2 linked regions of the Alligator mississippiensis genome follow. The protein of the gene in region 2 purifies or fractionates together with the protein of the main gene of each other region. This does not show direct contact. Links are inferred from orthologs where the notes say so. Each region holds a gene or a part of one and is shown on either strand. Other genes may lie near its edges. The genes, in order: OGT and ASXL1.

Region 1 (15,597 bases), on a different chromosome or scaffold from region 2:
TAGCTGTGGTCTCAAAGCTTGTTATCTTAAACTGCACCCTAACAATTGCTTGATTTGTTCTAATACCTAATCAGACAGCTGTTCTCTACAGCCCAGTTTCCTTTCTTCTTTGTTCATTCTGAGGGCTGTCTCATTTCACCTACTTTGCGTGCTCTCCGTTTTGCTGTTTGTCACTGTCTTGCTTTCACTTTTAACTGGAACTATGACTCGGAGGACTGCAGCATTACTATACTGGTAGCAGAAGGAAGAACCAGACGGATGGAGGAAAAGCTCTTGTGATGAACCCTCAGTAAAAGAAGTTAATCAGCCTTGTAATAGGCCAAGTCATATAAATCTTTACTATTAAATAGTATCTGGCAGCACCCCCGAGAAGCACCTGGGCTTAGAGTTTTCTGAAATCTCAGCACACAAGACTTAAGTTTAACTAGTGAAATAATATGGAGTCAAGGTCTTGCTACTCTGATTTGTTCATGTGGCATGGTACAGAACACACAGTACAGAGATTCTTACCTCCCTCTAGGCCCGTTCATTTTCTGTTTTACTCCACCAATGAAAAGAGTTTAAAGGTAAAAGATCTACCCATAACACTACAAGGGCGCACTACAAATGCTTTATCACCCATTTGACTACCACAACTATACCATTGGATGCTGGTTCTCTCTCTACAGCAATTTGTGCTATGCAACACATTTGATGAGCATAGTACAGGTTAAATAAAAGAGTGAATAATCTAACATGCTTTTTTGCCAGAACAAAATAAGCCTAGAACAGCAATTACATATCAAGAAATACATGATTAGCAAACTTCAAATATGGCTTATTGCTACAGTTTCAGCATTGCACACAGACACTTTCATCTAAGTGATGACTCTGAAACTCATGCTAAGCTTAGGCCTACTCACAAAAGTTAAAATACAGAATACTGATGCTAACTGCATATTGCAAGAGGATGTGAGTTCATGGCTAGGCCATCTGAGAAGGAATAATGAAGCATCTCTTCCAGCTTATCTTGCTATACTCAGGATGATTTCAGGCAGACTCTTAGTTGTCTGGTGTGTAACCATATGAAATGTCTATCCTTGATTAATTAGTATGGTAAATATTTCTTTTGCAACTAACTCGTGTTTATGTGCAGGAAGAGACATTCTCCATATGTAATAGATGTCTCCTCCTGATTTAGTATGTTTTTTCCTGGCTGTTAATCATTTTCTTGATATGTTCCAAACTGGACAACCTCTTGTTACTGAAGAAGGAAACTAATTCAAACTAGAAATTTCTGATAACCAGTAATGAGCAGGTTTTTCCTGTCAATTACTGCTTGGGACTCTCTCTTGATTTACACAACTAAAAGAATGCTTTGAAGATGCTAAACTAAGGGTATAAAAAGGCAGCAAAACAGCAAACAGCGCACGCTTCAAGAGTGAGAAATCTCTCTGACGCCGGTTGCTGATGTGCCCGACGAACTCGAGAAGTTGAGGAGAAACAGATCGCCTCTTTGTCGCCTGTCTGGTGAGAAATCATCACCTTATAGCTAATTGCTGGACTCTGACTGGGTTTGGGTTCACTTGACTTGATTTTAAATACTTGTAGTAAATAAAGCCTTTCTGTCACACTGTCACGAACGAGGCGTTGTGTCAATCCCTGGGCTAGTCCAAAATCCTAGGTCTTTATTTACTAACATACGGGACTGTCATCTATCCCTGCTAGATATTTCAACATCAAGTTTAAGCCTAGTAACTCAAATGTCTAAGTCTTCACCAACTCTTTTATACTGGAAACCAGTAATGAAAACTCTAAGCCAAAATAAAAATACTTTTTGCTATAGGCAAGCAGCAAAATAAAGCCAAATCTAAAAAGCAACAACAGCATTACTTGCTACTTTCCCTTATTACAAATAACTACATATAAAGGTTCCAAAGACCATTAGAACTATTGCAAAGTATAATTTAAAAGGTTTTCAAAAGTTAAATGATAGTGCAACTTTCCCAATTCTCAAACCAGACATCAATTTCTCCTCATTCCCTTCCTGATTTCTTCCAATTAGGTCAAAAATATCAAGGTCAGTTTCAGATGAGAAAAGTCCAAGTGACAGGGCAGAGGGGGGACACCCATATTCCTGTCTTTGTTAAACCAATTACAAAGACAAGCATAGAACTAGCAGCATAACAGAATTCCAAGAGGAATGCATTCACACAGACAACTCAAACGAAGGAAGAAATTACCTTTCAAGAATTACAAATAAAAGAGTTTTGAATTTATGAAGGTCAGGCTTTAAGAATTACAGCCAAGGATGCATCATTCATTACTCTGCAAGCACTTGCATAATCCAAAAGCAGACAAATCTGTTATGAAGTAGCAAATCTTCTTGAAGGTTAGGTTAAAAAAAAAAGGGAACTCCATAAACAGTGTTACTTACAGGATTGTACTGAAGGGCAGACACATAGGCCTGTACAGCTCCTTCCATATCACCAGCAGCTACCAGTGCAGCAGCCAAATTAATATAGCCATCAATGAAATCTGGTTTGAGACGTAACGCATGTCTGTAATGCTCAATGGCTTCTTGCAGCTGCCCACGTTCCTTGTACACATTTCCTAGATTCGAGTAGGCTTCGGCCAACAATGGGTTTTGTTTAATAGCCAAAGTGCTGAAGTGAGCAGACCTGGAGAAGATTAAACAGGTTAACACAAAAACAATTTTGTTTTCCAGTTACTGGGATTTACAGCCAAATACATAAAACAACTAAACCCAAGTTTCCAAACAATCCTGAAAATGGAATCTGTTCTAGCGCAAGATCAGTTACTCTACCCTCAGAGCACTGACAGTTTATATGAGAACTGAAGAGGAAGTACCTACTTTATGTAGAGTTTTGCAAGGCTTCTAGCATATGCTCAAGCCTACAGCCAACTATCGTTCCAAAGGACATCGGGACTTCTGTTCACAATTTTCACCAACAGTGGTCTCTGGAACACTGCATTCAACTTAGGTCCCTGGCAGACATTACACTTAAGATGCAATTAACTTGTTGATTGTAACTTAAATAGTAACCTAGACATCTGTTTAGGAAATCAATGGCATGATTAAACAGAAAATAAGCCACAAAATGTGTGTAATATTCTGTGGCTGGTGTCCATTGCACCTTATACTGAACGGGTAGCAGCGTTTCCACTATGGAGCCTAACACAGGCTGCACGGCTGGGCTCTGGGACTGGCCTCAGTACAGTCCTACAGCTGGGACCTATAATGAACTGAATGCCAGTCTGTCTTGGGACTGTACTGGAATCTTGAACCAGGTCCATTGAGGTCCTGGGGCTGAGATAACAATCAGCTGATTCACCTCAGTTCATTAGGCACTTGCCTTACTACTTGCTAGTGTAAGGGGGAACCAACAAGTAGTAATTAATGACAGGGTTGGGATCTGATCCCCAATCGCAAAACCATGCGTCCTGCCATGCCACACGTGCAAGGCAGAAAGTGCAACTCTTCCAACGTGAGAACAGATCCATTTGCACCTTCAACTGAATGTGTGCCAGGAGCCTTAATTAACATGCTCCCTGCTTTCCTTTTAGGAGGTAACACGCAGCAAGGAAAACTAAATATAGAATGTGTTTTTCCCCCCTGTACCTGGGAAATATTTTTAAACTTTAAATAAGGTATGTAAAATGAATCCCAGTCATTAGGGTACTACATTTGAAAGCCTGTTTAAGTCTACCCCTGCCATGCAGTTGGTCCAATAAAAAGTTATCACCCACAAAAATCCTTGCCCCTCACATACTTCCTGGAGCACGATGGCTACAACATCACTCCAACACAACCAGAGACAAACACCTTGTGCTGCAGTCGAACAGCCAGTGAAAGTGGCAGTAGCACGAAGGAACACCAAATAACATAAGTGCCTCTGAGTGCACCTAGTAGCTATACATGGCTATTTGTTGAATTCTGACATTTAGAAATCTTTTCTTCACATCATGTCACACTGTTAAAAGCAATCCATTTAAAGGAATATATATGTCTATACTCTTTGGTTACTTTAGGCACAAAAGCAAAGCTTTAAAACAGCTTAATAAAAACTGTTTCAAGGTTCCTTAGTCTGCCTTTTCAGAGCAGTTGAAAAAACATCTTCTAACTTCCATTCATGTAGTCTCTGAAACTCTGGAGAAGCAGGGGGGGGCGGCACCAGATCTACATAGCCAACAACTGCAAACTGAGGACCTTTTCACCATTAAGAAAGTCCAGTAGAACCAGATTGTGACTAATACGCTGATCCTCTCCATCATAAAGAAGCAACACAAATGAAAGTTTAAATAAAATGGAAGTTAGAGCATTATTTCTCACAGCTGCACAGCAGACTTCTCTTTTCACAAGCAATATACTGACAACACAAAAATATGAAGACACATTTCAAGTCCCTACCTGTCCAGCCTGCGACACTGGAAGTGAATGGACGACAGTAACAAAAGCACACCAGTATTATCAGGCTCTTGTCTCCAAAGCTGCATGCAATGTCTCTCTGCTGCTTCAAAGTCTCCTGCCTGATATTCACGATGAGCCAACTCCGCTAACCCTTGGAAGGAAAGCATACGTTTCGTTGGTTCTGGAGAATCACCAAAACATTTAAGGGGGGAAAACAAAAAGTTAGAAAACGGAAACAAAAAAGATGTAAAAATATGGTGTATAAAATTAAAGGATGAAAATGTTTGAAGCTACATAAAGCACGAGTGCCTGACACATTAAATGTCTATATCCTGAGCTCAGCCTAGTTTTAGTAATTTTCTAGCATTAACATATGTGTTTAGTTCACAGTAGACAATTCCCTTCTCACTCTGTATTGGAAAGCATGCAAGAGTTTACAATCTACAACATAAACAGGATCCCTTATTTTCAGAACCACTTCAGTCACCATCCCCTGCTTCCCCTTTTGTAAGGGTCAGAAAAATAAATAAGATACAAGCTACCAAATTAGTAAACAGATTTAGGGATATGACACAAAGGAATTCTTTTAAAGGGACTCTGGCAATATTTCACTTCCTTTTCATAGGAGGAACCTTGTTATGAGCACAGGCTAAATGTGCTTATCCTCTTACTTAAAGCTAAACCCTGTTTATAACATAAGCAGAGCATCTGATTTTAACAGATAGCTAAGCAAAACAGAAGGAACAGTAGATCTGGATTTCATGCAAAGAACTCAAGAAATAAGACAGAACAGAAATACAAACTACGTTAAAACAAATAAATTTGTCCCTACTGTCTTGCAGCGTGCACTATAGTCAGTGTTCTCTCAGGCCTTCAAAGAAAGGAGTAAGTAAAGACTTATTACATTTTCCAGGGCATAAAGCATATTTTGTCCCCTCCCTGAGGAAAGTCTACAATGAAGATGCCATCTGTACCAATTATGTAACACAAACTGTAATAACTAATAACTGTTAACAAAAATTAAATAAATACAATTGAAAGTTTTTCCCCACAACTGGCACTTCATACAGGGGTGCATCTTATACCCCAGAATATATGGTATTCATTCTAAGTGGTTACTTAGGCTAGAAAGTGGGATTTAAAAGATTTCTTTTTTAAAAATACCCGTGCCCGAGACAAATATAATGCAATTCTACTTGGTCATAAAACCAAAGGCAGTTACCCGATACAGAAAAGACTTCTAGACTGAACACAGACACTATACTGTTAAGCAGAGATTAATCAATCCACTCATCCCAGAGAAAGTTTGCCCCAGTAAACTCCTTTGGAAGATACTGTATTATCGTTATGACTCTCAGGATCATAGGACAACAGCGCCAGAACGGACCTCACAAGGTCACCTAGTCCAATCCCTAGCTCAAGGCAGGATCATCCCAGCCAAATGTCTTAAAAACATGCAAGGACTGAGATTCCACAAATTCTCTAGACAGCCTGTTCCAATGCTTGACCACTCTTATAGTCAGAAACATCTTCCCAATCTCCAACCTAAATTCTATCTAGTGCACTCCCCACAAGGAAAGCCAGAGTGGTGAGAGGTGCCAGGCTGTGCTGTCCCCTGGAGCAGACTCAGGGAGAAGTGGGCAGGGCTTCAGCCAATTTCCAGAGAGCCACAAGTACCATGCCCGCAAGGCAGTTTGGCCCCCGTTGGTCTAGCAGCTTCTCCAAATAATCCCCAACATATTCTGCCATTACTCTAGGCCAGAGGTGGGCAAAATGTCAGATCCAGGCAGTAGCTGGACTCCATTTCCCAGCAGCCCCTGCCTGTGCTGCTCCCAGCCTGTCTCCATGGAGCAGTGTGGGCAGGAGCTGCTCCAGGACTGGGATCTTGCAGCAGTGACAGCACAGGGACAGGGCCAGTCTGCTGCCTACACAACCCATGCTTGTTGCAGGGGCATGCGGGCAGCAGGTTACAGCTCTGCCCTGCTTTCCCCCTCCCCCACCCAGATCCCATGCTCTCCCTGCCTCTGCTTGCCCATCTCACTCCTGGCCACAGCCCCATTCCCAGCTGCACGAGTCCCATCCCAGCAGTGGAGGTGGGAAGGATGGGCTGGGTTTGGCAGTGGCAACCAGCAGCTGCCATTGCACGGGGCTGCTGGGAAATGGAGTCCACCGCAGGCCAGATTTGCCCACCCCTGCTTTAGGCTGTTTACCTCCTTCCTTACCTGTTGCCAACGGTACTCATCATTTGATAGCTGCCCCTATCTGTAAAGACTGAAGTAAAAAAGGCATTAAATACTTCAGCCTTCTCTACATCCTCCACAGCTAGACTGCCTTCTGCTTTCTGTAAGGGACCTATGATTTCTCCAGTCTTCCTCTTACTTTGGACACACTTTTTACTGCCTTTTATATCCCTTGCCAGCTTGCATCCCAAATTGTGCCTCAGCCTTCCTAATTTTCTCCCCGCAAGCCTGCGAGGCACAATTTGGGATGCAGTTGGTATAAGTAGTACTGTTATACGCTTTCCTAGTACTACAACCAAGTTTGCACTTCTTACAGGATTCCTTTTCGAGTTAAACTCAGAGAAGAGAGTGTAGTCTAGTCAGGCTGGTTTCCTGTTTCACATCCCATTCTTCCATCGCATTGGGATCGCTTGCTCTCAGGCCCTTAAGGGCCTCCTTGAAGTACAGCCAGCTCTCGACTTCTTTTCTCCTTAGACTTGCTTCCCAGGGGATCCTGTTCACCAGTTCCTGTTAAACTCCAGTGTCCTTGTTCTGCTGCTCTCCTTCCTTCCTCCACTTAGGATCCTTTAAATCCATCATTTCATGGATGCTGTCACCAAAGTTACCTTCCACCTTCACATTCTCAACCAATTCCTCTGTTTGTGAGCAGCAAGTCAAGAACAGCTTCCCCTAGCTGGCCCCTTTACTACCTGTATCAAAAAGTTATCCCCAAAACTGCAGCAATTTGATGGACTGCTAATGCACTGCTGTGCTTCCCTCCCAGCAGAGATACCAACAATTTAGAGTGCCCATGAGAAACAAGTCCTGCAATTTGGAACCTCCTGGTTTTGGAGGCCTGTAACCAACACCCACCATGACATCTCACCCTGCAGCTGTATTGTGACCTTCATCCAAAGACTGGCAACCTCCCTTCCAGTTTGGGCCGCATTTCCAGAGACATGCACGTCTTCTCTACGTATACAGCAACACCTCCTTTCTTCCCTCACCGGTCCTTCCTGAACAACTGATACTCAACCATGACAGTATTCCAGTCTTGTGAACTATCCCACCACATCTCCATAATCCCAATTACATCTTAATTCTGTGTTTGTACTAGGACCTCAAACACTTCCTGTTTGCTCCCATACTTCTCACATTGGCATATGAATATTTCTGGTACCCGTCTATCCTATCTCCACCCCCCCCAACATTGCTACAGCTTCTGTAATTGCTTCCCCTTACTACGTTTTCATCCAGGTCCCCAGCCTCTTCCCTTACCTCTGGACTTTTGCTTTAAGATTATAGGAAACAAAAGTTTAGACAACATTTTTATTTCTGCTGTTTACTTTTGGCATTTCTGTTTCAGTTACCCCAATAAACATTCCTATCCTAACTTGGCTGTTGTTTCAAGGCATGAATATAACGCTGGAAAATCCTCTACAATATAAGAGACCTCAACACGGGGTATTCCAGCAAAGCATTTATGTACTACAGAAATTCCAGAAAGTTCATTTCCCCTGCATGTGTGCAGCTCTTCACATACAAATAGGACACACTTTGAAGTGGACAGTGTGTGGAGGCCGGGCATTGCAAAGGGCATCAGGCATAGTAGTATCTGAAGCCATTTATTCATTTATAATCAACTATTTCAAACTGATGGTCTTTGTTTACCTGTATTAAAATGAGCTTTCTAGTTCATACATGGAGATAAACTGAACTCTTTATTTTTCCGAGACTAAATTGAGGACAACTCCAGCACATCTCCTACTGTTCATGCTTTGCCAAACTACAGGTACGGTGAAGTCTGCACAGCTTGGGAAAACATTGAGAAGAGGATGGGCCTGAAACTATACCAGAAAAAACCAAAAACTAAGGGCAAGTGTAACACCATTTCCTATCAGATCTACTCGCTGCAGGCCCTGATGAAGGCCAGATTTCCCGAGAAGGATCACCATTCTTAGGACCTCAAGCTGAGAGGGGAATGACGGCTCGCTAAATCACTGTCATAATAACGTTCCTCAGTCTTCTCTCTCCTGGCTACCGCTGGCCCAGATGTCATCCTTTAGACGGCTGGTATCCAGTATGTTATTTAAAGTTCTCTTATTAAGCAGTCCCCCACTGCTGAAGATGCAAAACCACAAAGAAAATGAAGCCGATGCAAAATAAGCCATCTTCCTCGTTCAGTATCTCTCTCGATATAAGCTAACAGCGTATCAACCTGCCAGATGACTGGCCATACACGCTATTCGGGTAAGAAATAAGCATCGCCTTATAATACTTAACCTGAAAAGTCAAGTGCAATGTTAAGATGAAAAATGGAATAGGAAGACAGTAACAGATATATGGAAAGAAAGTAAAGATGCTCTATTTTTATCTGTGAAGGAAAGGGGGTTTTTTTAGTAAAGAACAGATGAAACGTTCCCTCAGGACTGACTTTGTTGAGTCCCTTGCAAAAATAAGAAGGCACAATGAGGCCAGATCCAGAGAACGAAGACCTCCACGCCCGGCCAGCGCCCGGCCCGCCCCTGCGCGCCGATCCTCTGCGGGCGGCCGCCTCGCCCGGGGCAGCGCCGCTGCTGGAACAGCGCTCGTGAGGTGGGGAGGGGAGCCAAGCGCGCGGCGCTGCCCCGAGCCGTGGCACACGAGGCGGCAAGGCTCGCCCGGCCCCGGCCCCGGCCCGCCCTCGCCGGCCAAAGCAAGCGCCGCGGCCTGGGGCGGTCCCGGGGCCAGCACGACCCCGCCGCCGGGCCGAGTACACGGGGACCGCGGGGGAGGCGGAGGGCGCGGGCCCCGGGCCCGAGGCGGCGGCGCGGGGCCAGGCCGCGACCCCTCGGCGCCTTCTGGAAAGTTCCGCGAGCTCCGGCCGGGCCCCGGGAAGCGCGGGGCGGGGCGGGGCGGACGCTCGGCTCGGCCCGGCCCGGCCCGGCCCGGCAAGGCGCGGCGCTCGGCCGTACCTGTGCTGTCGGCCACGCTGCCCACGGAGGTCGCCATGGCGAGGGGGTCCGGCGGCTCCGGCTGCAGCGCTCCGCGCGGTGCGAAATGGCGGCCGCGGAGGGACGAGTCCGCGCAGCTCGGCCGGATCTAGCTCGGCACACAAAGTAGTCCAGCAGGACACAGCACCGGCTGCACGCAGCGTCCCGCGCAGCAGCGGCCCAATTCCCGCCGGACAAGCCTGGACGCCTTTGCCACGCCGGTATCCCACGGGCAGGGCCGAGCGGGCAGCGCGAGGCCTCAGGGGCGGCAGCACTTTGTTATGGTGTCCTTCCGCCTGCCCATTGCGACATCCCGGCCCCAGCGCGCATGCGCCGCCCTTCCGCACATGGCGCCCGCGGCCACATCCGGGTGCGTCACTGCCGCGCGGGGCCTGCTGGGAGCACCCCTTACCCTTCTCTCGGCCCCGCTCACGAGTGGGGCGGCACGAGCTCCTGGGCCGGGCGGCTCTGCTCGGGCCCCCAGCGCCGCTGGGCCCGCACCTGGACAGAGCAGAACCAGCCCCAGCCGCGTCCTCTGGGTCGGGTCCCAAACGCCTCAGGGATGGAGACCCGGCCCCCGTCTGACCTGGCCCACTGCTTCGCCCCCCGCCGGGCAAGAACGTTTTTCCCTTCTGCCACATTACTCCTTGTCCCGTCACGTGGTGCCCCCTGCGGGGGGTTTCTCCGCTCCACGGAGGAAGAGGGAGGTTGGCAGTTAAGCAACTCCAGGCACAGCAACCCCTCGAGCAAGGAAGTTCAGAAGAGACCTGATCTGACATACAACACTGGAGAAAAGCACAGCTCCCGGAGTCTGCCCACAGTTCTGCAAAGATACACGGGCCATGCATGTATCTTTTTTAACAAAAGTTTACTCACATTTCTTTTACAGGATACTTTCAGACATTTATTTTTTGACAGTGTGTAAAGGCCGATTAAACAAACCGCACCAAAAACTAAATTTCCAGCTCACTCACTAATATCTGTAAGGATGTTTTGTCTCTGGAAAGAACGAGGAGGCACAAGCCAGAACATGGGATTCTCGAGCTGACTCCTGTAACTGATGACCAGCACAGCTGTTCAGCGATGTCAGGAGGGGACTTTTCCCAAAGCTTGGCATTCACAGTTTAGATTACTATTGTACATTATTTCACGTAGTTAACAGACTTCTCATTAAAATAGAAGTTCTATCCAAGAAAAAACAGGTGCTTCAAACGCGCATCCCAGACTGCATTGTCCGTGAGTCTGAAAGGGCACACAGGACCCCTGTGAACCACGAGTGCACACATGCCGTAGCAACAGAGGATGTCTGGGAAGCTTATTCATCCGAGTCCAGGTCACTGTCTCCTGCAATGGAATGAAATTCCTCACTGTCCTCCTCATCCTCAGACAGATGAACCTGGCTTAGCACACTGGGCCCACAACGCTGTTCTTCCTCCTCCTCTTCCTCCTCCTCCTCTTCCTCCGAGACTTCATACCCTCCAATGCTGCTAAAACTGGTATCTCGTGTGTTGGACTTGGGATCTGGTTCCTCATAGCTGCCATAACTGAAAGAAAAAATGAAATCTTACTACATTAATGTTTCTGACTGTTCATTTACACTGACACTCTTCCCTGGACCCCAATGGCAAAGGCAAAAAGGCCCATACAAGAACAGGTCTCATTTTCTCTACTAGTAAAAAAATTCCCAGTGTAAGAACTTTTGCTCTCTAGGAATCCCTCCCTTCCTGCTCCCTGAACAGCATGATGAGAAGAACAGCACCCAGCCTCACAACTCCACAGAACAGCTAGAGGAAGAAGCAGCAACCTATGGCCCATGGGCTGGGCCCAGCCCGTGAAACCACTTGATCTGGCCCATGGATGTGGGGCTTTGGTGGTATTTGGTAGCAGATCCAACCGCTGCTACTGCTTCTAGCACCCACCCACCTCCGACCCAAGCTGGGTCATTGCAGCCTGAAGCCTAAAAAGTTTGCTGACTGCTGGGCTAGAAGAAAGCCAAGCCAAGACAAAGAACATGGGGTCTACAAGGGGCAATCTTCTATACACCATGCATCCGATTTTCAGGCAAATGAACTGCTATCAAAAGATGCACTGTGTACACTTCCTCTCTTTTGACATTCGTATTGCCTTTACCTGTTTGTCCTTTAAAGGGAAAAAGCATTAAGTTAAACAGAATCTGAGGACCTAAAATTCATCTCCTAAAAATCAACTCTTTCCACAATAATAGCATTTAATATTGTCGAAGACTGTCCACATGAGTGAGTTTTTTGCTCTTTAACAGAGGCCCTCGCCACACGTTACACTTGCTACTTGCTGGGGCAGGGAAAGCCTGGGATCATGATCCTGGGCTCCCTCTGCACCAGCAATAAGGTGTGATGGCATGTGTGGCATAGCAGGAAGTGCAATTGTGTGGATTGTGCACTGGATCCTACTGCACCTTTACCTGCGCGTCTGGCAGAGGCCAGGCGGTACACAAAAGTAGAATGTTAAAGCTACGAATCATTTGACCTTGCGTTACCACGTTTTTTCTTTTCTATGTAATTAGTGGGGTTTGGGTTTTTTTAAATTTGGTGAGGTACCTACAGCAGAACCAAGTTCACAGCAACGAGAACATTAATAAAATTTTAAGAATAATTTTAATTTAATAAAAGAGTAACAAAGTGGTTATTCTTTTATTAAAGAGTTAAACCCCACCATGATCTGGTCTTCTCTACAGTGCTCTCCTAGTAGGGGCATAAGGTAAGTGCCTTAGAACGGTGTTTCTCAACCTGTGGGTCGCAAGAACATATGAAAGGGTCATGAACAAACTTTAAAAATGAATGAACCAACTTGAAAAATGGATTCTCCTTTAAAGGAGAAAAAACATGGGAAACCATGGCTTTTCCTTTGCAGGCTGGCAGAGTTCCAGCCTGCAAGGGACTGCTTGGGGCCCTCCATGCACCCCACACACTGGGGGGGCAGGGTTGGGAGTGAGGGGCACTGGGTCCAGACTGGCCATTGATGTTTACAAATGGGCCCTAGTCCAAAAAAAGTTGAGAACCACTACCTTAAAAAAAAGTAACAGAGGAACAATTTAGTTCTATGATTTTATGATTGGAATAAATTAGTTCTCCAGCAGATAGTGGTTTGTTTGGGTTTTTTTTTACAGCTCAGCTTTGATTACCTGATATTACTGTCCTCCATCACATGAGATGTCTCCCCAGTATCTCCCTCATAGGACATCATACTTTCTTCATTGTCCATGCCCATACGTGTGTTCTCTTGAAGGACGTGAGGCTGCTTGGGCCTCACTGCATTGGACTCCACGTCCGAATCGCTGCCACTCTCACTTAGCTGGATAGCTGTGCAACAAAGAGACTTGCCGATTACTTTTGACCTCTTTTTAATGACCTAATTCTCAGTCCCGTTTTAACAGCCAAAAGCTTCAACAGCAAGAAAAAGTCCTGTTTCCCATCTAAATCACTTGTGTTTTCATTACACCATTGGCCCAGTCCAGCTCCACGTGACCCCAGTAACCGACCTGAGCCTCAGTCTTTTCCCTTCCATCCTTCAGAGCTCCCCTATCAATCAGAAACGTCAGATCCTGCCTAAGCTTCTGTTTCCTGAGTCCACACATTTCACTTCTACTCCACTTCATCTTGGCTTACACCCAAAATTCATGCAACTTGCTGCTTGCTGTCGTTATCTAGTAGGTAACTGGGCTGTAAACATCTGGTCTCTGTCACCTCAGTACCCTGAATATCTACTATCCCAGGCCAGAATATATGCTACAGTGATCAAAGGACATGGGAGGTTGGCTGGGATGGGAACAGCCATTTCCTGCTCAGACCTTTGACGTCAAGACCCTAACATACATGAGAAAGGATTATCGCCTTCTTCGTCACTCCCATCATCATCATCATCTTCTCCATCTGACATGAGCAGATCTTCATACAGAACACTGGCCTGAGGCTGCTGGGCTGAGCCTTCTTCTTCATCAGCAAGGTCACCATCTGCATCTTCAACTTCCTGTGTCACACACAACAGGAATGGCACAGGTCAAAAAAAATCACATAAGCTACTGCCAGAGCCGGTACATGCTTACTAATTGACACAATTAATGAACAATACATTCAGTCATTTGTTTTTATGCTGACTGTTTCATGACCACAGATAAATCTCATTAATCACTGCTGTGAATTCTGTTGTCACTCAGGTGCCAGACCCAGCAGACTTGCCCTGCACTATGGAGTCTTCTACTATGAGGATGCAGATCAACAAAGTGGACTACAGATGGGATTTCTGTAAATATACTCACTGGGGCTGGAGTCTTAGGTTTCCCATCATCATCCTCATCAAACCCTTCAATATCTACGTCAGAGTCTTCCTCGCCCAGCCTACCTCGTCCCTGGCGCATCTGAATGAGGAACACAAATAGCAACACCATTGAGGGAGGCACTAGTGTCAGAAGAAAGAGTCTGACTGACATCCAGACCACAATAGAAGTATACCCTGGGAACAGGGACTCTTTTTCCTAAGAACTTCAAGACCTAACCAAATCTGTTTCCTGGATGCTTCTGCTACACTCTTCTCTAAGGAGGTCACAAGAAAGCGAGGCAGGCATTCCTCTCTACTTCCTAGCTATTACAGGATGGGCAATTTGTCCTAGGAGAACTTGTGGTTGGGCCTCGTTTCCTCAAAGTCAGTAGGCTGGTTCAGCAGCTTACAGCCACAGCCACATGCATGGGAAAACATGCACAGATTCTGTCCCCAGAGGTGCAGATACTGCTTACTAGGAGGCATTTTAGAACCCCAGATACGAGCGATACTACATTCTGCACTGAACTTTCTTCCTTGCCTGTTCCATCAGTTGCTCTGTTGCTATTCTCACTCTTTCTGCTCTTGTCATTTGCCCTCTCTTTCTTTCTCCTCAATGCCCTCTTCCCCCTTCATACCCAGGTTTTTCCATTAAATTTATCCTCCTCTTCATCCTCCCTCGCTCCATCTTTAGCCTCTAATTGGGGGGGAGGGAACCAACAAAAACAAAAAACCTAGCAAAACTTGCTCCCAGCGTCACCATAGCTAATTTGGAAATGCATTGTGATCCTTAATCCCCACTGCTTCCCCCATTGTCGTCTTTTAAATATAAGAGTGTGGCAACAAATGTGTCCTCTTGTGCATTTCAACACAATAAAATAATTATCATCTTCCACCCCATGGAAATTACTCTTCCTTTGCCCTATTCAAAACTAAAGGGCACCGACTTTCAGGGCTCTGCAGCAGGACTGACCAGGTTACCTGTTTTCCTAGCGCTACAGCAAACGAAGGCCTGTGGCCCTAGACAGTCCCCTATCACTTTTTACTCTTCACAGCCACAGAGAAACATATTTTGCCAGTGGCCTTGCACACACCTGCCTTTTTCCAGTGTTTCTGTCTCATTTACAATGACCACAAGGAAGGAAAGCATGCCATTTTCTCAAAGGCTTTCCACCTCCAGGTGAAAGCTAGATATTTTTTTTCCCCTCTGGGTCCCACAGAGTAATTGCCTCCTTAGAAAAAGGCACTTATATAACCTAGCTCTCTACCAAAGAATGGAGGAAATCTGACCTGGGCACCCCGCTTCTCTGGGGTAGTGGTAGGAGTATCCATGGCAGACAAATTGCTCTCATCTTGATAGACGGAAGCATCACGTGACATACTGAGGGAAGTGTTGGTATCATACAAGTCTGGTGGCTAAAGTACATGAGGAAACAGGAAACAAAAACTCTCTCAAAAGCCAAATCAAAGCTTTAGAAGACCTCAGGAGGAAAGCATGACTGGAACTTCACTAGCTTAAAAAATGCATGCGTTTAGTTCTCAGTATAAAACACTATAATAATCAGAAATAGTAATTTACTCCTAGGAAAAAGAAAAAAATTGGACTAAAAATGGTAAAAGAACCCACAACTTGTTACTTCTATAGGAATAATCTTATTACAAAAAATGGACAGATTCAGAAAATAGAAATAAACTGTTGTGG
Region 2 (15,597 bases):
AATAATAAATCTAGTGCAGCTGATAAGGGACATGGAGCCCCCAGGCCCTGAGACTCCCTCACCAAAGACCCCATGCACAGCAAGAGCAAGGTTAAGACTTTTCTGGCCCTGCAGCTGCTGACTAAGGGTTTGGGATCCTTGCTTGCCATATAAAATTGTAGTGTTTGCAGGGCCAGGGAAGGGTTAACCTTGCTCTTGGCACTGACACCTCGCTTCACAGTAGTATCCTGCTGCTGCTCCAGGCTTGGAGCTTGTTTCACTTGTGGCCAGACTTGAGTCCTCTTGCTGTCTCAGGGTATGCCTCTTGAGGGAGGGGAGAGGATCAGAGTGGCACTCAGGGAGAGAGGGGCTTCACTTGTGGCACACCTACCAAAAAAAGGCTGGTCACCGCTGCTGCAGACAACCCCACACGTCCTCTTGCAATTTTTAACAGGCCAACAGCACAAACTGTGTCTACAAATATGCTGGAGATACAATTCCAGGCTGAATGAAAGCATGTTTGACCTGCTATGAAAGAAGCCCATCCACTGAACTAGCTTTTTGTACCTGGTATTTCATAAATTCTAGTACGCGTCTCCCAGTGCTAAATACATGAAGCAGCTCATCTGTGTGTGTGCATGTGTGCGTGCACATACACGCAAGTATGTCTAGTGGGAGCAGGGGAAGGAATAGCTGCTCTTCCCTATCTGGCTAGCAGACAATTTCAGTATCTCGTGTCATTAGTGCTCTTCCTTCTAACTGTGGCCCACTCCCGTCTTGGTAGCACGCACCCTAGTTTCATTCTTATTGTGTGTCCCATTGCCAACACAAAAGGCAGCAATGAAGATGTAGCAGTTCTCATTTTTTCCCTCTTTTGCCTTTTATTCCCCTTTATAAAGAGAGGGATTTTTAAATAGATTTGGGCTGCTAGTGGAGAAGCCAGTACCATAATTTTTAATTAAGTTAACCCCATACAGACTTTTCAGATACAAGAACTGAACAACCAGCATGCTCTATGAATACTTTTCAGCAGAATAATTCTAGTACACCTGAAATATGTAAAACAAACACCGTTTGGTCGGATCTGTCCATGTGTAACTTTTGTTATTCCTTTTAACATTCAGGAAAAAAAAAAAAGTGATTCATCCTTAGACTGAAAAGCTGCATGACAGTATTTAGCCACTGAATTTTTTTTCACTTCTAGAGATAAAGAGCCAGCAGTGTCAGAGCAGCCAGCTACTGAGCAGCCACGCTTGAAGCATTCATTTGAATTGATTACACGTGTGACAAATAAAAACACTTTGGAACTCGATCTATTCTCAGACATAAAATGGCAATTAACATAATGCATCTTTGAAGGAAGAGAGAAAAGATGGGGGAGAGAAGAGCATCTGAGATGTCAGTCATTTATTCGCCTGTCCTTAACAGTAGAGAATCCAGCACTAAAAATGGAGGAATTTAGGCATATCCTCTACATTTAAAATGAAAGGGACTGTCAACTCAAACTGACTGGGAAGTGATTTCAGGTAGAACCGCTAGGCATTTCAGGGACAAGAAGGATCACAACTGTGAATACTGTGGCAGGGAAACTGTGTAATGGTAAATAAATGAGAAAATACACACTAACTTCTTCAAGTAATTGTACATTAGATACTTTCAGACAGATGTTATTTGCAATCGGACTGTGCCCTTTTTCAACAACCGGAAGGGAATCACAGAGGTCTTACCATGTTGACAGGGCACTATCATCCCATAACTGCATTAACTAAAAGAGTGGCATTCTGAGTAGTGGTGTAAGAGAAGTTTGCCTTGCTTGTATAATTTAAGAGTTAAAAAAACTGAAATTTATCATAAGCATCTTAGGCAGAGGCAGACAAAAATTCCCCGAGCCCAGAGACTATTTCACAAGAAGTTACTGTGTCCGATACGTCAAGCTGATATACTTTATAACATCAACCTCTTTGTGTAGCAAGTTAGATATGCGACTGGTCCCCAGATAGGAAGAGGGGAGTTCACAGTTTACCTTGAGTGTGAAAAGGCTGATACGTCCGGGCAGCTTATAAAAGAGTCCATCACCCCCCCTTGAATTGGAATGTAGCATGGCATTGAGGCAGGCCAGGGGGGAAGTACCACTGCAAATGGAAAGAAAGAGGATTCATGATTTAAACCCCAGTTTAGAGAATGCACTATGCCATCCACTGGTTTCTTCCCCTTTAAACCAGCAGCAGCAGGTAGAGAGGATGGTTACAAACTTTATGGAAATGCATTTCAGCCAGTCAAAACCAATTACTGTTTTACTTTCTGAACGGCATAGTCTTGGCATATCACAGCGAACAAGGGAAACAGCTTGTTATGTCAATGTTCAAGTCACCCTAGGTCATATTAAGAGGGTTCTAACACAAGATGCTTCTTCTTTCTACAGTTCCTCTGAACTGGCCCAACGTTGCTAAGGAAACCTGGTTTTGTAAGCAAAGGTACAACATTTTTCCAAACTCAAACACTTCCAAAATAGTCTCCTGCACTATACATCTCGCCAGCAGAATACATGCCCAGGTGCTGTAACTGAGAGGGCTTTAATGCCATTATTCTAGGTGGCCTACAGGACTCAGGGGTTGTTTGTCACTTCTAAGCAAAGCAGCCGTCCTACGCCACCGCTGATGACACCTTTGTGCCACACACCACTGTGTCATGTTTTCCACAGTCATATGGGTACGAGCTACTTAGAGGAGATGTTAAAAGCAATGCAGAATTCACCGTTATTCAAAGTGAAACTGAAACTGGTATCAGACCAAATGTTTCAGTCCAAAATGTCAAACAATTTGATCTCAGCTTCTCAAACTGAAAACCAGCCTTAGTCGGCTTCTGGTTTCATTTTGACTATGTTTGTTTTCAGGCATTTCTTTGTTACACAGGAAAGTAAGCAAAGTTACCATGGGTTGCTTTTATATACCATGAAGAAATTCCGATTCCTCCTCTATTGCACAATTTCTCCCCTGGCACCAACACGAATGTGGTAAATAAATTACCAGGCAACACAACAGAAATTCAAAGAGTGGAAAAAGTGTAACTTCCCCAGCTGAAGCTGCAGCTGAGAATGAGAGAACTCAAAACATTTGCAGGTTTTAAAATTTAGCCAAGAGGCTGGCCCCAAAAGCCCCAGCTCAAGCATAAGCCACTAACAACCACTGTTGCACTTCTTGAAGAATACAGCCAAGTGTCTGTTAGAATCAGGACTGACTCATCTGGAAGAGGGTCCTTTGAGTCACTGTGCTATTTCTTTCAAGACTTAAGATTTCTCTGGGAAGTCCCTCAAACCCTGACAATTAGCTAGACAAGATCTCTGCTTGTAATGGTCACTCCATATTTTAATCATTGAATCTGTAGCAAATGCTTGTCCTTTCACTTACATGATAGAGAGAGAAAGCAGTTGCTCTTTGTAGCATAAAACCAATGATGGGGCAAATGGAAGCAGAAATCCCTTGGAGAAAAATCACCAATCCCTAAACAAATTAATTTAACCCAAGATTTAAATGCTGACATTTAGCAAAGCCTGCTTTTACCTGCCTATCATGGAAAAGGTGCCATTCACAAGGGACAATCTAATGCCAACAGACCCCACATAGGGAAGAGGGCTGAACAAAGGAAGTAACTAGATGAGTAACTAATCCAAACAGGGCAAAACCACAAAGCTTTTCAATCTAAGCCCATTTTTATTCCACACTATGCTCTGACATTGTTGCCCATGTCCAGTCCCACCAAAAGCCTCCTCTTTGGGGGCTGGACTCGATGATCTTCCGAGGTCCCTTCCAGCCCTAATGGCTATGAAATCTTTAAGAAACCTAAATGAGTGGGTGCTTCAATGGCTCTGGTACCAAGAAGGCACCGTACTGCAAGCTGGCACAGTCCCTTTTCAAACAACAGTAACTCCTACATATTACACCCCTGTTTGAATTACAACCTTCTTCACTACTCAAACCATCATGACTGGTTCCTAATTTCAAAGGGAAGGAGAAGCAGAAACAAGTGAAAATTTTGAATGACCAAGTCCCAAAGGAATTCATTTACCTTCTATAGTCACGCAGAGGTTCAACAGCGATGTATGCAACATGGTGGAAAACAGTCCGTGGAACCAAGGAGGGGGGAAAAGATACAATTAGAAGAGCACAGAGCATTCATATCCCGCGCGAGTCAATCAATACTCAACACCCAAAGACAGGCTGAGCTACTACCAGTAATCAATCCTGGTGACTTTCAACTCATTGCACAAGTAAAGGAGCTTGCAGCACCAGAGGTAGCAAACATCTCCTTCCTCTGACCTGCCAAATATTGTGCATCTCCCTTCAGCTTTATAACAAAACCAATTCCAGGGGACTAATCCCAGATGACACTTGGTCTTCCATCCCTATGATTTTTTTGGGTCAGGTTCAGGTTTTTCTCCAGGTCAAAGATACAATGAGGTGCACCTCTTTTCCATATTCCCAGTCTACAGGGGCCACAAAAAGTACAGCAGTACTAATATACCAAGTGCTGGAAAATGAAGGGAGCTCAATATGTTGCTTATGTAAGGGAGGTGCCTTCCTTGACCCCTGGAAAAGGGGTGGTACATCCTCTGAAGTGGAAGCTTTATGGAGACAAAGTTTTTTAACTCATTGTAAAAGCTCGGACCCAGTATTAGTAACTAGTTATTTATTTATAAAAGGAACATGCAAAGGAGAAGTATTGATGTGAGAAACAGATCTGCAGTTGGCATTTACTGTATTTTACAAAATCCCTGCAACTCCACTAAAAGGCACAGAGGGTCAGTGCTTTTGTTCCAATGAACTTGAAAATCCTCCAAAACTGTCAAAGAAAATGACCTAATACATTCTCATGCTAGACAATCAGACTACAGAGGAAGAGAAAAGGAAAAAAGACAGGTTAGAGAAAGGAGGAAGAGCTGCACTAAGAAATCCAGCCCCTTCTATCCACCCTCCCCCATACCACACATTTTGTTTTAGACAAGAAGATCAATACTAACCTCATTTCCTTTAGTCCCTCAGCCTCTATGACCTGCAGAATCTGTTTCGGGGTCATAGGAGCATCAGAGTAATTTTCCAGCACCTGAAGAGAGAAAAAACCCCGGACTCAGCATACAATTTCTGTTCACATTCACAGAGCTGCTTCCTTAACTGGGATTAAAATACAAGTATGGACCTCCCAGAATTTACCACCTCCATAAGGATACCTGCTACAAAACGTGGGCCGCCCCAGGAGCAGACAACATGGATGATCTGTGCACATTTCAAACAGCTGCAAATGTCTTGCCTTGTTTCCTCAAAAGGTCCCTAACTAATCAAAGTGCTATTGTGCAAAGTAGGAAGCATACCGTATTCATTTATATTGGCCATCTCAAACAGGATACTGAAGTAAGGCAGAGGGGGTTCAGAGAAAGGGAACGGGAACAATTAGATACAGGAAAAATGTATGCACAGAAAGACTGAAAAGGCTGAGGCTACCTTAGAGAGAAAGTGAATCAGAGAAGAGATGGAAAAGGGCATACAATAACAAGCAAACAAAAAAAAGGTCTAAAGAAAGAGCTTCTTTTTTTCTTGTATTATGAAACAGGGTGGAGGGAGAGTCAGTTCAAGTGAAAGTCAACAAACTGCTTTCTCCAACACAATGCTGGGTTAACCTGTGGAACTCACTGCTCCAACACATCACTGAAGCCAACAACTTAGCTGAATTAAAAAAAATAAAAATAAAAAGGAGTGGGCATTTTAGAGCAATAACTAGGTATGCACAATAATAGGAAACATGTACAGGTACAGTTACAGAAGGGATGTAAGCCTTTATTTCAGGAGTGAAGCTAGCCTCTACGTCCTGGGACTTAGGAAGAACTCCCCTTCATTGCATATTACCCATAACCATCTACTCTGTAGGATTTCTGGCCCCTCCCTTGGAAGCAGCTGATACTACCCACCATTAGTGCCAGGAATCCAAACTCGACAGACCACTGGTCTGATCCAGTATAACAATTCTCATGTAAAATGCAATACATGTCCTGAACTACCCAAAAGCAGCAGCAACGGCTATTCTTTCTGGGACGCTGGTTTAGTAATCATACACAAAATTCCCCAACGTAACGATCACAGCGACATGAAATCCAGATGCCAGTAGTCGCAGTTCTATATACAAGTTGGCAACATGATCCTGTCTTTCAATTCATCTAGTACAAGCAATGAGTGGAGAAAACAAATGGCCCTCTTTTCTGTCAGCAACATCTAGAATAGAGTCACTGCAGCATCCTGTTGGGAGCAATGGCTGTGCTCTCCCTTCAATATGAGGAGCTGTATGAACAAAACTATCTGCAAGAAAGTGGCACAGGTCACCACCTCTATTGTTACCACTACCTCCCAGCCTCTGTCAAGAAAGAAAAAGCCCAACCTGAATGACACAGCTTTACTGTCATACTGCAGTTAAAAGTCTGCCTACGCTTCTCACTAAAAGGCAAAACCAAATCACATCCACTGTGTGACAGGAACACATTTGGAAAAGAAAATATACCAAGTGTGGTACTGTCAGCTTGGCAGGGGACTGGAAGTTGGGAATGGTGAAACTACAGTTAAATACAATGAAAACTCCACTGGAGTCTAAAGAAAAGAATCCAGGAAAACAACAAGCTAGATTAAAAGAAAGTAAACTATTTTAATTCTCAGCCAGCACAGCTCTGTAACATTCGTCCACACTAATAAGATCTAATGGGGTGTACACCTTTGGTGCTGTCTGCAGAAACTGTCACCCTTCCTCATGCAGAAGGAAAGGGCATCTCCTGTGGGACATGCACCATTCAAGCGCCAAGTGTGAAACAGAACACGCACGTTGTAAGAAATACAGAAAACATCCACTGCTTGCAACACTTCTGGAAACCCCCTCCAGGACACCGAACTCAAAGGCAATCAACAAGGGACAGCCCACAACCAGGCATGAATGAATTACCTCCAGGAATGAGCATTCCTATTCAGGAGAACAATTCATAGCTCCCAGCTGTATCAGGTGTACCGCTCACTGTTTAATGCAGGAGCTGAAGACTGCCGGATGCTCTCCTACCCTCAAGGATCCTGCTAATGCTGGAGAAATTCTTCCTCCGGCTATGACAGGCCATGGCTATATCATGAACCAAGTCTGAGCAGGAATAACTCAGGAACAAAGCAGGATATTTCTTCCCCAAGAAGCAAAAAGCAATAATTACAATATTTCCAGTTCCTGCCAACCCCTCAGTACCAGAATTGTGAATGTTTGTGGTACTCCTCCAATTACCCTCCTGCTAGCCTCAGGATCTGTCCTGAACACTCCCTGCGGTTCTACATCATTAACTAAATGTTAAAATACTGTTTTTACAGAATTCACAAAACATTAGCTCTACAATACGCGGCACCAAAAAGCACTTTTGCTTTCCATCCAGGGGAGCAACCTAAAAGAATACAAAATGTAACGCTAACTACTAAAGAGTCATATTAAAAGCATTTTGATGGGTAGCATATGAAGCAGCCTAGTCTTGAACAAAGATCCATTTTTAATAGATTTCCAATCAATTAGAAAGGGAGTTTGCAACCCGGGAACTCAGCTAGGCAAGACTTGGTCTCCCTAAATGGATAATCTGTGATGAGGTTGAGCCAATGACAAACCAGAAATAGAACAAAGATGCTGCTGGGACTTAGAGACCTCAGGCACACGGCATACAGAGGGGTGAAGCTCTAACCAAGAGGGACGTAACAGAAACTACAGGTGTGCAAAGGTTCACTGATAGACCACATGCCACGAAACAGCTCACTGCCCTATTTGCGCTGTAGCTTTGAGGCAGCCCCCGAATACCAAGCAGGTCTCCATTAGAACTCAGTACGTTGGGCGGAAGAAGCGTTTTGCAAGAAAATTTAGCCTTTACTCCGCATCTCTGGGTCACTCGCCAGCAGTCGCCTAAGAGCCCGTATGGAAGCGCATCATCCATAAAATTAGTATTGCAACAGGGATGCGCAGGGCAAAGCCCTTCACTGCATGGACCTGGCATTACTGTTCCCCAACCGCTACTTCAGATTCAAGCGCTAGAGACGAGCAGAAATTACACGGGCTCAAAAATAACGATCCTCCCCAAGAGCTACCAGAAGGTTAGATTTCCTTTCCGTTCGCGATCGGTCCTGGGAGCGTTTTGTTGACCGAGCAAGTTCCCTTCAGAAGCAGTATTTAAAAACAAATTCTAAAATGCATTCAACATATTGGACGCTAAAACCAAACTGATCTAAAGCAATCGTACACCACCCATTTAATATTTATATACCCTAATATAAACCATGCCAAAGATGAAAAAAAAAAGCGCAATGTACGTCTTTTCTATATTTGTCCGTACACAACACGCTAAATATGGCAAGGCATCCAAGCGGCAGCCGTACCGGTCCAGAGGAAACGTCAATCGGGACTTGTGGTAGAGATGCTATCTTTTATTCGACCAACACGAATTTTGCAACAAAAATAAAAACATCTTTAATTGCAAGCTTTTGGGCACAAACCCCCGTCATCAGGCATCGGAGGAAAGACTGTAAAAGGGCAGAAATGAAAGTTTATATTCCCTAGGATTTCACAGTCCTAAATAGGGCAAGCGTATCTGCGACCCAGCGCTAATGACAGCTTCAAGGAGGAAACCGACCTTGTTCCACCAGTCCCTGCTTGAAGACCGCAGGACCCGGCCCTGCCCGCGGTCCGACAGCTCCACGGGGTTTACCGGGCAACAAGGGGCTCCTCTTCCCGCCGGCGTTAAAAGGAGAGGGCAGAAACTGTGAGCACTACGGGGCGCGCAAAAGAAGCCATGCACTCGAACAGCGCGCCTGTGCCCCTGCCCGCGCCAGCGCAGCCGGGGCAGGCGACGCGATCAACAGTTCGGGGACGGAGCCCGGTCTCCAACGTGCGCTCCTGCCTCCCTTTTTCCTTTTAAATGCAAACCCCGATCATTTTATGGTCAGATTGAAGTTTCTTCTTTAAATCGCACACCCGGCCTTGAGAAATAACCAGTTATTTCCAAGAGAAAGCACCGTCCCACCAGCGCTGCCAGAGCAAATATCGACTCTACACGTTGACACCTTGAATGGACGGATGGATGGACCCCCCCAAACTGAGAAACACAAGTTTCAGGACTTGTCCCCAAAAAACAGCCGTTACAAGGCTGGCGGGGAGACCGCGGGCCGGCGGGCGGAGCGGCGTTTTCCTGCGCCCGGGACAGACAAATATGCCTGAATGTATTGGGGGGGTTGAATGAGAGATGTCGCCGCTGCCCACACACGGCCTGCGCGCACCTAAGCCGGGGTAGGGGCCCGCTTCCCGCCCGGGACGAGGCAGGCCGGGCTCAGGACGCTGCCGACGGGAGCGGGGCTCAGGCCCCGCGCGGCCCCTCAGGGCAGGGCAGGGCAGGCCTGGTCTCCCGCCCCGCCCCGCCCCTCCGCGCCGCGGGGCCCCCTCACCAGGCGGGCGGCCTCGGCCCACGTGCGCTCCTTCTTCCTCCGCTGCTTCATCTCCTTCATCTTCCTCCTGCGGCGGCGCGGGGGGGGGAGGGGGAGGCGGCGCGGGACCGTTAGGCGCGTGGGGCGGGGCGGCGCGGGGCGGCGGCGTGAGGCGGCGGGGAGGGCGCGGGGGGGGCGGCTCCCGGGCGCTAAGGAAGAAGAAGGAGGCGGCGGCGGCGGCGGCAGCAGCTCGGGCCCGACATAACAACGGGGTCAAAGGGCTCGCAGCCGGAAGGAGGGGCTTGGCGACGGCGGCCGCGGCGGGACAAGACAGCCCCCGCGCTGCGCCGGCAGAGGGAGGGGGCGGGGCGCGGCGCACGGGCCCGTTCGAAGGAAAACAAGCCGCGGGGGCTGCTGGGAGCGCGAGTCCTGCCGCGCCTCTGCGCCGCCGCGCCCGCCTCGGGACTACGGCTCCCGGCAGACCCCGCGCGCACCGCCTTGCATGCTGGGAGCTGGGCCCCGGACGCCTCCCAGCGGCCCTTTCGGCGTGTCCGGCTCCCGGATGGGGGGAGGCGGCCGGGGCGGCGCGGGGGGGCAGTGGCAGGAGGGGGGTGTGGGTGTGTATGTGTGTATATATATATATATATCTATATCTATATATATAGATATAGATATATATAAAAATATGCATACTCTCTCTGTGTGTGTGTATATATATATATAAAATTATGCATAATATTAAATGATGCATGGGGTGTGTGTGTGTATATATATATATATATATATATATATGTGTGTATATATATATATACACAAACGCATATATATGTGTGTTTGTGGGTATATATATATACGCATACACACAATGCATAATTTAATATAGGCTAGCTATATAATTGCATAATGTAATGTGCAAATATGTGCATAGTGTGTTGTATTGTGTCAGATATTGTATATTATATTGAGTCATAACATAGCATAATGTACTGTATTGCATCCTTATGTTATCTTGCATTATATCCTGCTATGTTGTATCATATTCAGGGATCCTGGGTTTCTCTAGTTTAAAAAAATCCCCAATTTTCAGGTTAAAAAAAGTAATCCCAAATCTGCATTTTTTCTTGATTAAAATGAAACACTATTATATATATATTTATACATCTCTCTAGATATCTATATGTATAGATAGATAAAGATCTATATCTGTAGAGATGTATCTGTCTATATAGATATATTGATATATATCTCTAGAGATATCTCTATATTGATATATACTTATATATTGATATAACTATATCTATATTGATATCTCTCTATTGATATAGCTATATATATCTATATAGATATATCTGTATCTTACATGTATACATCTATATATATATATGCATATATATATATATATACACATATCATCTCTATAGATCTATCTCTAGAGATTTATCTATGTATTAGCAGCCTTTTCATTTTAATCGCAGAAAAATGTGGATTTGGGGTGACTTTTTAACCTGAAAATTGGGGACTTTTTTTATCAGAGAAAACCAGGATCCCTGATCACATTACATTATAGTGTATCATATATTACATTACGTTATGTTACATTGTATTATGTCGTATTGTATGAATTTTGCTCTGTTATATTTCACGATGGTAGCGGTCAGCGGGTTGGAGCTCCCTTCATGCGGTGCGGGGAAGGGACGGTCCCAGAGGGGTCCGTGAGAAGGCGGCAGGACCATACGACCGGCAGAAGGGGAGGCTGGGGGCAAACAACCCATGGGAACAAAGGAAAGACAGAAGCTCATCCAGGTAATGGGATGAGACTCCATCATCCTGGTTGAAACCAAGCCCATCTGGGTCCAATTTCCTGTTCCAGTTTCCTGCTCAAATAGGTTTAAATGTTTGCTGCCTAGGAAGAGGCACCCTCAGGTCAGCGGTGGGAACGGTGCCTTTAAGAGGGACCAGCCAGCCGTGTTGCGAGTGTCCCGCTGCAGGGGATTTGGATGGGTTAGGGAGAAGAGAAAGCCAAGGAGAAGGAAACAAGTGGTGGACTGAGCTGCTTACCACATGCAGGGGCCAAGCTATGCTGTGCTCAGAGCCAAAAGGATTCCCCTCCCCGTGTCTGGGCCAGGACAGTGGGATTTTGTTCCACTTGCTTGGCTTGCTTGAAAGACTGTCATTTGGGAGGACTGGCTGAGGAGCTCCTCAGGGAGCAAAGCCTGCCTGCAGAAGCCAGAAAGCCAGGAAACCTGCTTACAAGCTCTCAGGGAGTTCAGATTTGCAGTGGTCCAGAGCCAGACACCATTTGTCATGAATGGCCGGAGGCTGTGTGCATTTCACGCAGAGGAGAGCCATCGGATAGCTTTACATTTGCAAAACCAAACGGAGATGGTTTTAGACTCACAAAAACACTGGCGGACAATAAATACTTTTGCTGCAGTCTTAGCAGTGCATGGCGTGATCTAATTAAGACAAAGAGCTGGAACTATACAAGGGCAAAATTTAATAAAACTATTGGACCATTTCCTTTATTTATTGAACGTGGAATGATCCCCCAGTGCAAAGGTCATCAGCTGAATGGTGGCAGAGTGAATGTAACCTTCAATTCCTTTATTTCACCATTTCAAATTTCAGTTGCAGGTTTCTTCCCCGAGTCTGTGTTTGTGAGGAGGCTGGGGGCCCTGTTTTGCATTAAAGTACTGGAATTTTGTACAGGTGCCACTGTGGGAGATACGGCAGACTCATTTGGTGATTTGACTATTTTCTGTTCATTTGTCTTTTGTTTTGAAGACCTGCATTGCTGGTCAGCCCGTTCGGCATCAGTAGAGCGTCAGTTTAGTTTGAGCAAAGGTTTATGAAAGGCCAGTTGCCAAAAAAGGGGGAAAAGTTGAGAATGGGTATTGGTATCTAGGATTCAAAACAGAAGCACGATAAACTTGAATAGCGTACAGAGCACAAATGCCCTCATGTTTTATTGACTTTTTTCGGATGTGTCTTTATGTTTGAAGACTCAGTACGTTTACAAAGTATACGCTGCAGGAACACGGCACTGGAAGGAACTCCTGGTTCACCCAGTGCAGCTCCTTGCTATTGCAGGCACTATGTCGTATCATTTTATTTATAAACTTTTCAAATTCAGTCTTAAAACTCAGTGGGTTATTTGCTTCCAGTAGTCCTAGAAGACCTTTTCAGAGCCTTACTTCTTTGATGATAAGCCCTTTTTTGTAAAATTTGTAAATCTTAACTGATATTTATACTCATTTGTTACTGAAATTATTTCATCTCACAGAAAAATCTGTGTCATTTCCCCCCCGACCCCATCTCACTTTTTCCAAGTCTTTTTTTCCAAATCGGAGAAAATCACAGCTTCCATCAGGAGTCAGTAAAGTAACAGAGAAACAAATACATAAAACAGGTTTAAAAATCAAACCTTACTGTTCTAGAGAACTATTTCAGCCATATATTTAGTACAGGCAACCCACACTTAGCACTCTTAATTGGTTCTTGGAAAACCGACTATTAAGCTAAATGAACGTCAAGCGAAACCAAAAGTATTCGATGACCCAAGATGGCAACCGCGAGCGTTATAGCGCAAAGTGCTGAGCGCTAAGTGAAATCAGGTATCAATTTTAAGTGAGCGCTATAATGAAATGGCGCTAAGCAAAACAGCGTTAAGCAGGGATGCCTGTATCCTATAATCTTATAATAAGACTGCTCTTCATCTCTCACAATTTGAGAAGTACAGATGGCAAGGCATAAGCATGTGGAGGGAAGAGAACCCTTTCTAAGTATTTGGCTGAAATCACAATATTAAAAATCTTAATTACAACCTGTTAACAGTATATTGTTATATGGATTCTAAATATACTCTGATCCAGGAGGGTGCTATATGCACATAAGGATGACTCAAGTTCTCGAGTAATTAAAAAAAGCTAAAAAGGGAAACGTGTGTGTACGTGCGTATGTATTGTATGTACACACACACACACACAAGTTGTGAGGCTGCAAACCTCTAATCAAGTGACTAGCACCACACTTTTTTGTGCTTATGCAGGCAAATGCTTGAATCCAGCTCCGCAATTCCTGCACTTGCTTAGAGCCCCTTAGCTGCTCTTCTGGAATGAAGGCTTTGATCTAGTGTATTCACTATACTTTTTCTCCATCACACTTACTTTTACCATCTACGCTCAGCTGAATTACTGTCCTCTAGAGGTCACTGCTCTTTAGGGCTTGTCTTATTTTATATTGCTTGTTGGCAGGCATCTTTTTTCCCTACAATCTTTACTGTAGTGGTACTCCTTATTTCCCTCTAGTGAGAAGAATGAGGGATTGCATCTCATTCCAGCCTTACTTTCCTTCTAAATCTAGGCCATTTATAACAGGGGGTGCATTATGAGAATGAATGCTGAGGTTTACCCTAACCTTTTCCACTACTGCTTTTATTTTAATGGAATCCAGAAAGCGGACTCCCTGGGGTAGAGATCATATATGACTGATACCAGCAATATGTCAGTTCTTTGGGGCTAGCAGTCTGACACCGTTCATCAACAGCACATTCGCGCTCCGTTGTTTAATTGTAATACGCTTGTTTCACCCGATTCTTTTCCTTCAAAAACAAATAGGGCATGATGTTTTACAATATCCTACGGGTCCCATTAAACCCATAGCAATTATTTACTAACTCGTTTAAGAACAGAAAATGACACGTTGTTGTAGATACAATAAATCTGATTGATTTTATTACACATCTTATTTTAGGATCACTTTTACATTCCTAGACAAAAGAGATGATACAAATAAATATAAGCTGTAAAACCTATGGACAGAGCTATTGACATGTTCTTTGCCTACACGTCACCTAAGAGAAGGTTAAGATCAGTGTGTCTCCAAGGAGCTGTGAAATTTCAAAAAAGATAGGTGTGCCCACGAGCACTCACAGGCACCTCATTCCAGAAACAGGAGAGACGGGGCCAAAGACGTGAAGGGAAGTAAGTGCCTAAACCATAGGGAGTTAAACCACCACTGTACAGTGCAGAGCAAACAGGCACCACTGCTCTTGTTCAGTTCCATCTGAGCACCCGGTTATGGCTTTAGCATTGTGCAGGCATGTTCTTCTAATTTGCACATTTAACACTGCAGAAACAGAGCCAGGCCTCTTAATTAAGCCCTGGCTTTATGGTCAGACACAAGAGGTGGAAAGACAGGGTAGAGAAGATGTCCACAGTCACAGCAATCAGTGCTTCTCTGAAACTTGGCAAAGGATCAGCGGTTCAGTGATGGAGAACTTACTACAGCTAGACAGAGAGATCTGTATTGACCCAGAAGTCGGATCTGTATAATGCATCATTACCATTCAAAAGGTTAAAGCAGAAGTATGTGTTTTAGAAGGCGGAAGCAGCATGCATCAGACCTATATTCAGGATTTTAAGAAAGTGCTTTCATTCTTGTGTGTTTTGCTTTGCGTAGTATTTGACTCTGGAATAGAAGAGCTTTACTGTGCCTAGCTGGAGAAACAGAACTGGACCCAGTTATACAGATCGGAGCAAAGGTTGAAAGGATGTAAAAACACTCCTATGAAGAGACTATGATTGCACACACTCTCCTAGGACCTCATCCAGGAGCTGGGCAAATTTCCTGTCGTCTTTGGTTGTTTACCTGCAGGAAGCCCAGATGGTTCGGACAATAGCCACATGCTGCAGAGAGGCACAGACCTGGAGGGGTCACGTCAACGCAAGATTTACACATTTTGTACAGTTTAAGACACAATGCATTCATTTCATCCTAATATCAGTGCCACCGAGGATCTGGTCAAGGGGTAATTCAGTCAGTGTGAGAGGCCAAAAGCTTTGGCAGCCACCCGAGATTGTTTGCGAGTACATTCACCAGCCACGTCTTTACCACTGTTCCAATTTAAATACTGTGACTGAAGAGGCAATTTTAAAATCTGTCCACCTCATTCCCTTTCTCTCGCCTTGATAAACTATTTCTGGAACTTAAAAGCAGGGCTTTCTGACATATCAACCATCTCGCCTATTAAGAGTAAAAGCAGAACAGGTTCAATTCGGGCTCTGATTTCTAATGCGCCAATCCTGTCCCAAGCAATATTCTCAGTTGACAAGTTTCAGATAGAAACCCACTAAAATCATACTGGCTGAAGACA

What was found.
Region 1: the proteins of ASXL1 (region 2) and OGT purify together in Homo sapiens (affinity purification with mass spectrometry; 3 studies listed by BioGRID and IntAct, with this or other methods). This does not show direct contact. The link is inferred for Alligator mississippiensis from reciprocal best matches to the Homo sapiens genes ASXL1 and OGT.

What each region holds. Positions count from the first base shown.
Region 1 is NC_081831.1:83,415,028-83,430,624, reverse strand, and holds the start of OGT (UDP-N-acetylglucosamine--peptide N-acetylglucosaminyltransferase 110 kDa subunit), read right to left. Parts: upstream 9,694-15,597; 5' UTR 9,622-9,693; coding exon 9,585-9,621; intron 4,593-9,584; coding exon 4,412-4,592; intron 2,661-4,411; coding exon 2,417-2,660; intron 1-2,416. Other genes in the region: TAF1 (transcription initiation factor TFIID subunit 1), read right to left, coding at 10,918-11,146, 12,763-12,940, 13,454-13,607, 13,897-13,995, 15,186-15,311. UniProt on the Homo sapiens protein: Catalyzes the transfer of a single N-acetylglucosamine from UDP-GlcNAc to a serine or threonine residue in cytoplasmic and nuclear proteins resulting in their modification with a beta-linked N-acetylglucosamine (O-GlcNAc).
Region 2 is NC_081832.1:1,413,148-1,428,744, forward strand, and holds the start of ASXL1 (polycomb group protein ASXL1), read right to left. Parts: upstream 9,754-15,597; 5' UTR 9,525-9,753; coding exon 9,465-9,524; intron 5,080-9,464; coding exon 4,997-5,079; intron 4,909-4,996; exon of another isoform or gene 4,152-4,908; coding exon of another isoform or gene 4,048-4,151; coding exon 4,045-4,047; intron 2,112-4,044; coding exon 2,003-2,111; intron 1-2,002.